Linked DNA regions of Arabidopsis thaliana. The protein of the gene in region 2 interacts with the protein of the main gene of each other region in a pairwise test. Each region holds a gene or a part of one and is shown on either strand. Other genes may lie near its edges. The genes, in order: WRKY43, MNP and BBX31.

What was found.
Region 1: the proteins of MNP (region 2) and WRKY43 interact in a two-hybrid assay, tested with the Arabidopsis thaliana proteins (one large-scale study listed by BioGRID).
Region 3: the proteins of MNP (region 2) and BBX31 interact in a two-hybrid assay, tested with the Arabidopsis thaliana proteins (one large-scale study listed by BioGRID).

The regions. Positions count from the first base shown.
Region 1 is NC_003071.7:18,955,270-18,958,435, reverse strand, and holds WRKY43 (WRKY DNA-binding protein 43), read right to left. Parts: upstream 1,225-3,166; 5' UTR 1,183-1,224; coding exon 1,034-1,182; intron 948-1,033; coding exon 767-947; 3' UTR 511-766; downstream 1-510. Other genes in the region: KPHMT1 (ketopantoate hydroxymethyltransferase 1), read left to right, coding at 2,025-2,426, 2,794-3,147. UniProt on the Arabidopsis thaliana protein: Transcription factor. Interacts specifically with the W box (5'-(T)TGAC[CT]-3'), a frequently occurring elicitor-responsive cis-acting element.
Region 2 is NC_003074.8:18,908,971-18,913,245, reverse strand, and holds MNP (GATA type zinc finger transcription factor family protein), read right to left. Parts: upstream 2,300-4,275; 5' UTR 2,135-2,299; coding exon 1,616-2,134; intron 1,246-1,615; coding exon 877-1,245; 3' UTR 638-876; downstream 1-637. UniProt on the Arabidopsis thaliana protein: Transcriptional factor that specifically binds 5'-GATA-3' or 5'-GAT-3' motifs within gene promoters (including its own promoter and GATA21 promoter), thus regulating the expression of genes mostly involved in hormone responses and floral organ specification (including genes regulating hormones responses).
Region 3 is NC_003074.8:7,708,279-7,711,968, reverse strand, and holds BBX31 (B-box type zinc finger family protein), read left to right. Parts: upstream 1-2,035; 5' UTR 2,036-2,305; coding exon 2,306-2,671; 3' UTR 2,672-3,136; downstream 3,137-3,690. UniProt on the Arabidopsis thaliana protein: Developmental regulator acting by forming heterodimeric complexes, that sequester CO and CO-like (COL) proteins into non-functional complexes. Involved in the CO-mediated long-day flowering-promotion pathway.

The DNA.
Region 1 (3,166 bases), on a different chromosome or scaffold from region 2:
TTTTAATTCGGCAATCCATATTTATTAGTACACTTTGTGGCTTCAACTTCGCCAAGACTTGTTCGCTTCTTATTTTCGGTGACTATTTAAGGATGCTGATCAAAACTTGAAAGCAATTCATGTAATATATCGGAACTGACTTCGTACATGTGACATGTCTCATTGACATTGTTCATCGTGTAAATAAACAAAACAATAATCACTCACGATAAGCCAATAGGTTTATTCAAACGAAAGGAAACTGATTTGGCTTGAGAAAAATCTATGGAAACCAAATCCGGTTTTATTCAGTTTACCAGACGATATTGCTCTATGCCTCTCTATAATCATCACGTGGTAATCGTTTTACCGGAATATTACAATTGATTTGTTTTTTTATTTTGGTTATATGCTTAAAACTGATTTATAATCAAAACGAGATTGCAACTATGAACATGCAAACATATATGATTACAATGCTTTAATTTGCTCCGTTATATGAACCATGGAACATTAGACCATCTCCACCAGTAAAAATAAAGAAAGTTTCTCAAAAACATATTAATTAATATTTTAATCAAAACAGATACATTAATTATTATTTAATAGTTGAACTAATAGTGTGATTACACCTGTCCAATCATCCGAGAAATTTAACTCTCCTTCTCTCCTACTTTTTCTCCCTTCTCTCATATTTTTTTTTTAATTTTTTTTCTTTTGTTAGGTATCTCATTGAGATACTTCCATTGGAGATGCTCTTAGAACGTTAATATATATACAAACATAATTAGGTGAACTTAGAGAGGAACTGCAATTGATGAAGAAGAGGAGTTAGGGTTTGCATGAGCTCCTCACAAGGATGGTTATGGATTCCTTCATAAGTTGTCTCCACAATGCTCGTCTCCTTCGACAGCCTCTGAACTTGCTTCTTCACGTTACACATGTGTTGTGTGCATCTATAATAGCTCCTTTTGATGATCATAAGTGAGAAGAAACACACAAAAAAACAATCTTTTTAAAAACAATTTCAGATTATTTATGTTAAAAAGTTTACCTGGGATACAAGCTGTTCTTGACGGATTTCTGACCGTACTTTCTCCATCGATAACCATCATCGAGAATATCTGCATCACTCTTTGTGCGAAACGAAAATCGCGGATTTTTCATCTTCTTATCTCGAGAAGAGTCGACGAGGCCATTCATTAATGAAGAGGAGATATGATGAATCAACGAATTGTGTGTTAGAATTCTTCGTGTGATTTATATTGAAGAGATATATAAAAAGGTTTAGAAGCCAACTACATTCAACTACTTCAGACCAACAACAACAAAAAATTCCTTCACGTCATCTCACACGTGTGTGACTTAAAAAACAGAGACATGGTTTGGTCTTTACTTGAACTCCTGGAAACTGTAAACAGTAGAATCCGGTTTTGGTATCACAATGCGCAATCTCATAAAAAAGAACCGAAGCTACGATCTTAAAGGAGCTCGTGCAGAACCCTCGGATGCTCTCCAACTCCAAGAGAGTTCCAACTAGTAACCGCGATCTCAATCTCTACATTTCTCTATCTAAACCCAGAAACGGAAAAATAAAAAAGGAATCGCCTTTGGAACAGAAGTTCAATAAGATCGAAACAGAGACTGGGTTAGGCTAGAGCCTAGAGAGAAACAGAGACTGGGTTAACATAACCAGACTGAACCAAAATCCGGTTTAATATAGTAAAGATATTTTAAAACTATCTCCGTTGCCGGGACTCGAACCCGGGTCTCTCGGGTGAGAGCCGAGTATCCTGACCAGCTAGACTACAACGGATCTTGTTGATTTCGTTAAAATATTGAATTTATAGTTAAGCTATCACAATTCCTAACAGTGTCATTGCTATGCTTGATTTGTGTGTGAAACCCAGAACTGAATCGCCACTTGCCAGAATCTAAACAGCGTCCTCACTCACTAGGAATTGAATCTTCTTAAAAGTAAAATTCCTTGTTCTTGTAAACACAGACACAGTCACAGATAAGAGGGTTTCTTCATCTTCACAACAATGGCGTCCTCACTCACTAGGAATTGCTCTCGCTTCTCAAAAGCCATCTCTGTCCGTTTCATGAGTAACCTACCGGAAAACACCGTCTACGGAGGACCAAAGCCACAAAACCCAAACCAAAGAGTGACGCTAACGCATCTCAGACAAAAACACCGGAGAGGAGAACCGATCACCGTCGTAACTGCCTACGATTACCCATCCGCCGTTCATTTAGACACAGCTGGTATCGATGTTTGTCTTGTCGGTGACTCAGCTTCCATGGTTGTTCATGGTCACGACACAACACTTCCTATCTCCTTAGACGAGATGCTTGTTCATTGTCGTGCCGTTGCTCGAGGCGCTAAACGACCTCTCCTAGTTGGTGACTTGCCATTTGGTACCTACGAGTCAAGCTCTAGTCAGGTAATGTTATAAAATTGAATCTTTTTTTCTTCTAGATACCTAAATTAAACATATTTGTTGATAAGGCATGTTCTTCTGCTTAATTTTTGTGTAGGTAATTAGATTCTTGATTGCAATTTCAATACCTGAATTAATCACAACACTCAGTGGGACTTACAATGTTCAATTCATTTCCTGATCAAATGTTTAGGTGATTGGATTCTTGATAAAAAAAGTCTTAAATGATACATTATGTGTCAATGTGTCATTGCCTGTGTAATCACAGATTTAGCTTTAGTACTTGCTTATGCAAAGTAGATTCTTTACAAGATTTTGTGTCAATGAAACAAATTAGGGACCTGATTTTGGGTTTAAATGTTGGCTTCAGGCGGTTGATACTGCGGTTAGGGTTTTGAAGGAAGGAGGAATGGATGCGATTAAGCTCGAAGGAGGATCAGCTTCTAGGATCACTGCTGCAAAAGCTATAGTTGAAGCAGGAATTGCGGTTATTGGTCATGTGGGTCTAACCCCTCAGGCGATTAGCGTTCTTGGTGGTTTCAGACCCCAAGGCAGAAACATAGCTAGTGCTGTTAAAGTTGTTGAGACTGCAATGGCTTTACAAGAAGCTGGATGTTTTTCGGTTGTTTTGGAATGCGTTCCACCTCCTGTAGCTGCTGCTGCAACTTCTGCCCTCAAGATACCAACCATTGGCATTGGGGCTGGACCTTTCTGCAGTGGACAGGTTTTATTTGAAAAGTTTC
Region 2 (4,275 bases):
ATGTTGCAGAATCGGTTCAGTAATAAAAAATCGGAAAAAGTAAGTAATTAAAAAGGAAGAAAAACAATATTCTTGAGAGCACATATTGACACGAACAAAAGGTCAAGAAGAGAGGAGTGAGTAAAGGACAAAACGACGGTCAAAATATAAAGGAGGAAGAAGCAGAGCATAATACGACAAATATATGTTCATTAAATCACTACAATGCTCTCTGATCCAAAACTGAAAACACAACAGTACCAAAACCCACATTGGTACGATCAGAATCTAATCTCTCCCCAATTCGACGATCAGATTTCAATCTTCACTACCAAACACCCTAATTTTTATTTTATTTTCTCTATTTTTTATTAACCAATAGTAAGAATATTATTATTATTAAAGTCTCAGTTGTGAAATTCAGGGACTCAGGTGGAACTGAAACTTCTCCGTTCAACTCTAAACTATATACATTAAAAGAGTTATATCCTATGTCTATATTTTTGGTCTGTGTGTTTTCTCTTATGCACATCTTTCATTTTTTGTTTTTCTTTCTAATGTTTTGATTACATCTGTAATGTTTTATGACGATCACTGTGTAATCAATAGAAGAATCTAACTATAGTGTTTATTTTATAGACTAGAGAAGAGAAGATTTCCATAAAAAGAAGGTTATATTTTTAAAATAAATATTAGAAAATGATTTTAAAAATTGACCAGAACGGTACTTTATAGATAAACCATAAGTTAGACCGTCACTATCAATAAACATCAACATCGTCTCTCGATATACACTTCTATTTTTTTCAGAAATATTTTCTTGGTTTTTTTTTAATTAGACATAATTAAACCACATGGAAATTTTAAGAGAATCTAACGTCGTTTTCTATTCTCCTTTCATCTGGTAAAGTCATGGACAAGACTTGCCCTATCCGCTACATTAAGCCTCCAAGAAAGGAACGGAACACCGCCGTGAGCACCGTCGGATTCAACGTTGTTTGCTACTCCACTGCCGTAATCATCCATGAACCTGATCTCATTTGCCGGATAATTACACGGAACCCTCTGCGTCGAGTGGTGATGAGCCCACGGAGTACCATTATTATTGTTGTTATTAGTGGCAGCATGGTAATTATTGTAGCCAGAGTTGTGATGCCCGTACTGGTCGGTTTGAACCGGTGCAGCTCCGACGACGGTGTTTCCTGTAGCCGCAGTAGTTCTTCTCTCTTCCTTCTTGAAACGAATGCCGCATGCGTTGCATAGGGACTGCAAATTCCAAAACCATCCATATCATCATTAGCCATCAATATATCTTATATTTAATGTTCGTTCAATACATAAATCTCTATATAGTGATGAAAATATTCGAAAAGAAAATAAATTAATGTCTTTTATTGAAATATCTGTTTTAAAACTTATATTCAAGTAAATTTACTGAACCATCAAAATCATTATTTAATGTTTCTTTCAATAAATTAAACTATAGAGAAAGGGATTTATTGGTTTTAGTGAAAAAACAGATAGGCAAATATTCAAAACAAAGGGATGAACTGTCTTTTTGGTTATTGTAAATCTTCATTTCATGTGTTGATTAAAAGAAGTTGCATTTTAATAAAAATTAAAATAAATAAGTCACCTTAGGGCCTCTAGGACCATTCCTCCATAGTGGAGTAGAAGTAGTGTCACAGTTGGCACAGCGTCTAGCGAGAAGAGAGTCACCTCCGCCACCGCCTCCTCCGCCACCACCACCACCGGAACAACCGCGACTTGGCTTGTTAGCGGAGAAAGAAGGAACGTTATTGTACGGTGCCGTTTTGGAGTTGTTGTTTTTGGTGTGAATCAAGTCCCAAAAGTTGGAGATGCAAGAAGAAGCACCAGATGAAGTAGAGCGTCTACGTTTCTCATCTTCCTCACAAAGCCTCGTAGAAGGAGTTCCAAGAGAGAGAGTGCAGTCAACGAGGGAGGAAGAGTGATGATAGTCCTCACCGTTCTGCTCGAAAACGCCACCGTTTTGCATGGAGAAGACCATCGAGTAAGAACCGGCGTTGGAGTTGTTGTTGTTGTTGTAGCAGCAGCTTTGGCTATGGTGGTGGAACATTCCACAAGAATGACAATATTGCCCCTGCGTTGAAGTAGTGTACGGAGTCTGCATCATCGCTCTTACACACTTCTCTCTCTCTCTACTGGTTTGAAAACCCTAAGTGTAAAATTAAGAGAAGCTAAAGAAAATATGAAGAGATAAGTTCAGTTTGCAGGTTTCACGTTGGAGTGAAGTGTAGAATGGAGAAGAAGGTCTCACACCTATATATAGAATCAGAAATGTATATGTACGCTTATATGCAGGTTTATATTAATACGAATAGTATTTAAAATCAATAGAATATGTGGGGACGCAGCTTTTTACGAAGTAATATTAATATATCATTTACTCAAATGGGTTTTCCTTGCTTTTTTATGTTTTATTAATTACAAAATACGATGAACGATGATACAGTATCAAGTTTCTTTAGGCAGCCAAGTTAACAAGTTAAAAGATATTTTAATCACAGTTTATTTTTTCTAATTACATAACACATGCTTGGTCTACATAGAGTCTGTGTCACTGTGTGATTGTTTTGAATAATTCAACTAAAATATCCCTATTTCAAGTACGTTATGGAGTTGATTAGCTTTTAGATAAGGATGCTAATATATGAAAATGTACCGTACATTATGAAAATGTCAGTAGTAAATAAAACAAAATATGATGGGAAGTAAAATAACAAAAAGTCGAAACTATGTAGAAAAACTGATCTTGGTTTAAAAAGCGAAGGGTTTGCTAGTTGTTGGACACAAAACTTTCAATCTAAAGATGAATAGGCTCGGTAACATATGCTAAAACAAAATCATTCATTGCTAGCTTCCAAATATCATAGATTGAAGTTTGGTTTAAGTAGATATGGTAAATCTTATTGTGATGGTGAAAAACATACGACTTTTGGACCATCAAGCACACAACTCTTATTAATTCGTTATTTCTTTTTGAAGCAATTATTATGTCACTCACACACGAATGTTTACTTTACTAGAACTATGATATTGTATGAAAAAATTGAAATTATCGATTTTGTGGAGGAAATTTAACAGAAAATAAAAAACGTAGAAGAAGAAGAAGGAGAGAGTGTGATGCGATGTTGATGGTCATTGAAGAAGGGTGGTCAAAATTTAGCCCACGTGACAAGGGGGAGAGAAGAGGAAGAAGAGTACAGTCATCACTGCAAAAATCTCCGATCACGAGGCTCATATTTTTATTTTTATTTGTTCTCTTTCAATATAATGCTATAAAACCTCTGTCTCTTTCCGTATCTCTGCCCTAAAACCCTGAATCTCACGCGCTCCTGCTCAGTTGCGCGTGGCCTCGTCCTTTACTTCTCCACATCGCAATCACACGTTCGATATCTGCTCAGCCTCATGTGGTTAATGATGATCCATGATGATGTAAGTAAAATGACTTAGATTTGGTTATTAGATTTCTTCAAAACTTGCAGCTAGCTAGAGTCTACTCTACTCTTGTCGTCAACGAATACTAGTCTTCGTCCCTATACAGAATTATTTTATTTTTTTGGGATTACGTATGTTAAATGCTTTAACTACTGTTACTAATAAAACCCTATTTTTATTGAAAACATGGACTCTCGATTGGTTGAAAAAGAGCTTACGCTAGGGGATATAATGCATTGGCCGATCTAATTTTTTTTTTTGCCGAACACTATTTTTTGAAAATTTTGTAATCAAACAAATAAAAGAAAGAAAGTGTATATTCAAAAAAAAAAAAAATTAAAAGAAAACTGTTGAAATAGTATATGTTTGTACGTTATAAAAACCGATCAAGAAAAAGATGACGGTTGTCCAAAAAAAAAAGGACCAAGATGCTGAAATCACAATTCATGTACTGATAACTAACACTTCACAGGGACGCGGTTAACCGAGTGCTTTGATATCTTGTAGTTGTAGATAATGTCTTGTTTTTCTATATCATTCTCTCCAATTTACTTAAATGCATATTGGGCATGTGATCAAGATGATTAGTTGCTCTTTTGTTTTCTTCTGTATAGGTCTCGTTCCAATTTCATCGGATGTTCCGATGGAACGATTAATTACTCTTCTATTGATGTTTATATCGGCTATTTGGACTAACAACCTATTTTATGGCAAATTTAAAAACATAAGAGAGTTGCTATATCAACACTAACCTTAGTTGACTCACATATCTTTTTCTAGTTCGCATTATTAGTCTCCCTACATAACCAACAATCT
Region 3 (3,690 bases), about 11 Mb from region 2:
TGAGGACAAAATTAGAAAATAAAAAGCTTTTGGATTTTTGAACCAATATGATCCACACAAGTGGACTTATGCATCAACACTGAATCAACTTGTGGACAACAACAACATCACTTTTTTTTTCCATAACGTATCAAACATACAAATATAATAATATTTTCGTCTCATTATTATTTCAGTCCGTCTAATAAGTGTGCGTATTTTTGATCAGTCAATAATCCATACGACCCACTACTTTATCTTAAATTTTGTAGAGAAATGTCGTGGGTTTTTTTTTTGTTATATATATACTTTGTGTATGTAAAAAGTTAGATATATAGTCTTCATAAAATGGTATAAGACAATATGTGTATTTTCTATTCTGAGTAGAGTCCGCCAATACCCGATCTTACTTGTATTAGAGACAGAGTGTTACAGGTTGTGGTTTAACAGAAACCAGTTGGTTATGTACCGATTATATAATGAGATGTACATATATACTCTAGTCTTTCTATTTCTCAAGCTTTTATATTTCTTTCAAAAACTGAAATTTTTTTCTTCACATAAACATATTTGTAACCTACCTTTGATTCAGTATAACTTTCTGCATTATATCCGAATCGAAGCAAGATTGGAGGCATAAAGAACAACAACTCTAGTTGAACGTCCAAAATGGAAAATACCTACTCAAATTATATATTACATAATGTCAAGGTTTTAATTTGGTCTAATTAATCTTCAATATTAAACATATATATGCAGTTAAAAAATCTAATAACATCATTGAAGATATTTTTGATCATTTAATGCTTTATAATTATCTCTATCTTCACGTAAATTTTGTACTATTAGTAGAATTTAAGTTAACGAAATGTATGACTCCGATCATTACATGTCTAAACGATGGCGATAGATATGATGTGCTGCTATGTTTTAACCGATACGATATATTTTAGCAACAACGAATAACTATATTATAATTTTGGTTAAAGAGATTCAATAACATATTTTGCTAATTACTTTATTTTATTTCGTCCGAACTGTAGTATGTAATTAATCTTATTAGGTTGCTTTAACAATAGATTAAGACACTTACTAAATGAATTCACTATTTTACAAACACTGTTTACGAATAATGTGATGCTAACTACAAAATCGAATATTGTGACATTAAAATGCTTTTCGATTACTTATATACGTACTACTAAGCAATCACACGCAATGTATAGCAATTCAAAATAATCAAACCTTTTTAATTAACTGATATTATTCGTAATTCGTGGGGTAGCTTTCACTAATATTAAACAAATAAATGACTAATAAATCAACCCAAAAAAAAATCTTTAAATGTGAACCATACAAGTGAAGTCCTCTTTGCTTGTTCTGATAGTAAGCTTATATAATTAATTAAGAGTTGACTGACTAACAACCACACAATGTCCCAAAGACAACCAATAACAACGATACTTGATATCACCCTAAATTCTAGCCGTTTCTTATGCGTACCCCCTATCCTCCACTAATCACTTGTAGTATCTTTAATTTTTTTCTCTAAACAATCCCTTAATTATTTTAGAAAATTCTGTCACAAATTTCAATAGGAAAATGAAGGTGTGCTAAGAAACGAATGATAATATATGCCGGTTTTTTTTATCCAACTAGTTCTAGAACCTTAAATATCATGTAAATGTCTCAAAATTTATACCTTGGAAAAAAAGAGATAAACTACACGACTATATATGTTTTCGCTTTGGACAAGGAAACTCCATCGTAATTAACTAAATTCGCAATCATTCATATTTGTTTATAGAATCGATTGTTTGTTAACCTTTCGGTGCATCTATTAAAATTTTAAATTCTCAATAGTTTGGTTTATCGTACACCGTAATCACATTACAATAAGATACATATAACATCATATCGTACAAAAAACAAAAAAAACAATGATTCACATTGAAGTGGTGGGTGATATAAACCAAAAGAAGTCGTACTAGAGGTTTGTTTCGATTTGCAAAAAAAAAAAAACGGAGTTTGTTTCGAAAATTTTAAAGTTGTGCGTCCAATATGAGGTCGAGAGATCGCTTGGAGGAGAAGCGTTTTTAATTTTGAAATTAACGATTTTGCCCTCATAAGGGCATTTACGTCAAAATAACAGGGCAAGATTCATCCACGTGTCCAACAACAACACAACACAAACACATCATTAGTTTTAAAGAAATAAGATTCCTATATAAATGTATAAACGTTTCTCCTATTCCCAAATCTTCTTTCCTCAATATCACCCAGAAGAAAGAGAAAGTGAAACAGATCAAGAAAGAGATTGAGAAAAATGTGTAGAGGCTTGAATAATGAAGAGAGCAGAAGAAGTGACGGAGGAGGTTGCCGGAGTCTCTGCACGAGACCGAGTGTTCCGGTAAGGTGTGAGCTTTGCGACGGAGACGCCTCCGTGTTCTGTGAAGCGGACTCGGCGTTCCTCTGTAGAAAATGTGACCGGTGGGTTCATGGAGCGAATTTTCTAGCTTGGAGACACGTAAGGCGCGTGCTATGCACTTCTTGTCAGAAACTCACGCGCCGGTGCCTCGTCGGAGATCATGACTTCCACGTTGTTTTACCGTCGGTGACGACGGTCGGAGAAACCACCGTGGAGAATAGAAGTGAACAAGATAATCATGAGGTTCCGTTTGTTTTTCTCTGATTATTAGATTTTTTTGGTGTAAGCTATAAATATTCTAGGGTTTTTATGCAATTTTCTTTTAAGAAAAATCTGAAAATTTTAATTTTATGAAGCTTAGAATTTTAAGAAATGTGTAATGAAAAAAAAAAAAGAATTTTAAGAAATGGGTAGTGACTAAAAATAGCAAAAAATATCTGCAATAGAAAGGGAAGAAACAAGGATCGTTTGTTGTTATTGAGTTATTCTTCGAATCTTTTGCTTTTTTCTACTAAGCAATGTTTGTAACCAACAAACAAAAAGTTCCATAAAACTGCTGTAAAAAAAAATTAACTCACCAAACTCTCTGTTTGGTATTTTGTTAGATATTTATTTTAGTGTAGTAAATCTTTCTCACTACTTCTTTGGACTTGTCATTTTCCTTAATTTAAAGGTACATAAAAGCAACTCCAGCCTTGTATTCTTAGCAATAAAAGTGATTAAATTTAATGAAACAACAAACCTTAGCTAAGATAAACATCTTAATTAAGATGTTTTCTTAAAACTAAGAAGAGTATATGTGTTGTATTTTGAGTGGATAGACATTTTTGAATTGTTGTTTTTTAAGAATCCAATAGTTCTTAACCATTGAAATAGAAATTAGTTAAACTTCCTCCTAACTTTTCTTAACTTAGTAAAAACAACATTTTAATTTAAAATAAGGTTAAGATTCAAAACTAAGAACCAATTGGTTCTAAACCAGTGGGGTAATAACTAAACTTTTTGCAAGTGAAACATCTTCATAATGCAATGCTTAATAAGTAGAGAATTGTTCTCTTGAAACACGTTAAACGCGAGCTCTGTAATGGAGCAGATTGTAATCACTGCTACTTTATTATTAATAAAAAAAAAAACAGCTAGGAAATTTATTTATAAAGAGATAAATTAGGATTTGTCCTATAAAAGGAAAAACCCAACTTAAAAATAATCAAAAACAAAAGAGATTCTGTAAATAAAAGAAGTTACTAAATAATTTTCACCATTTTGGCTTTCCACCAACTTTA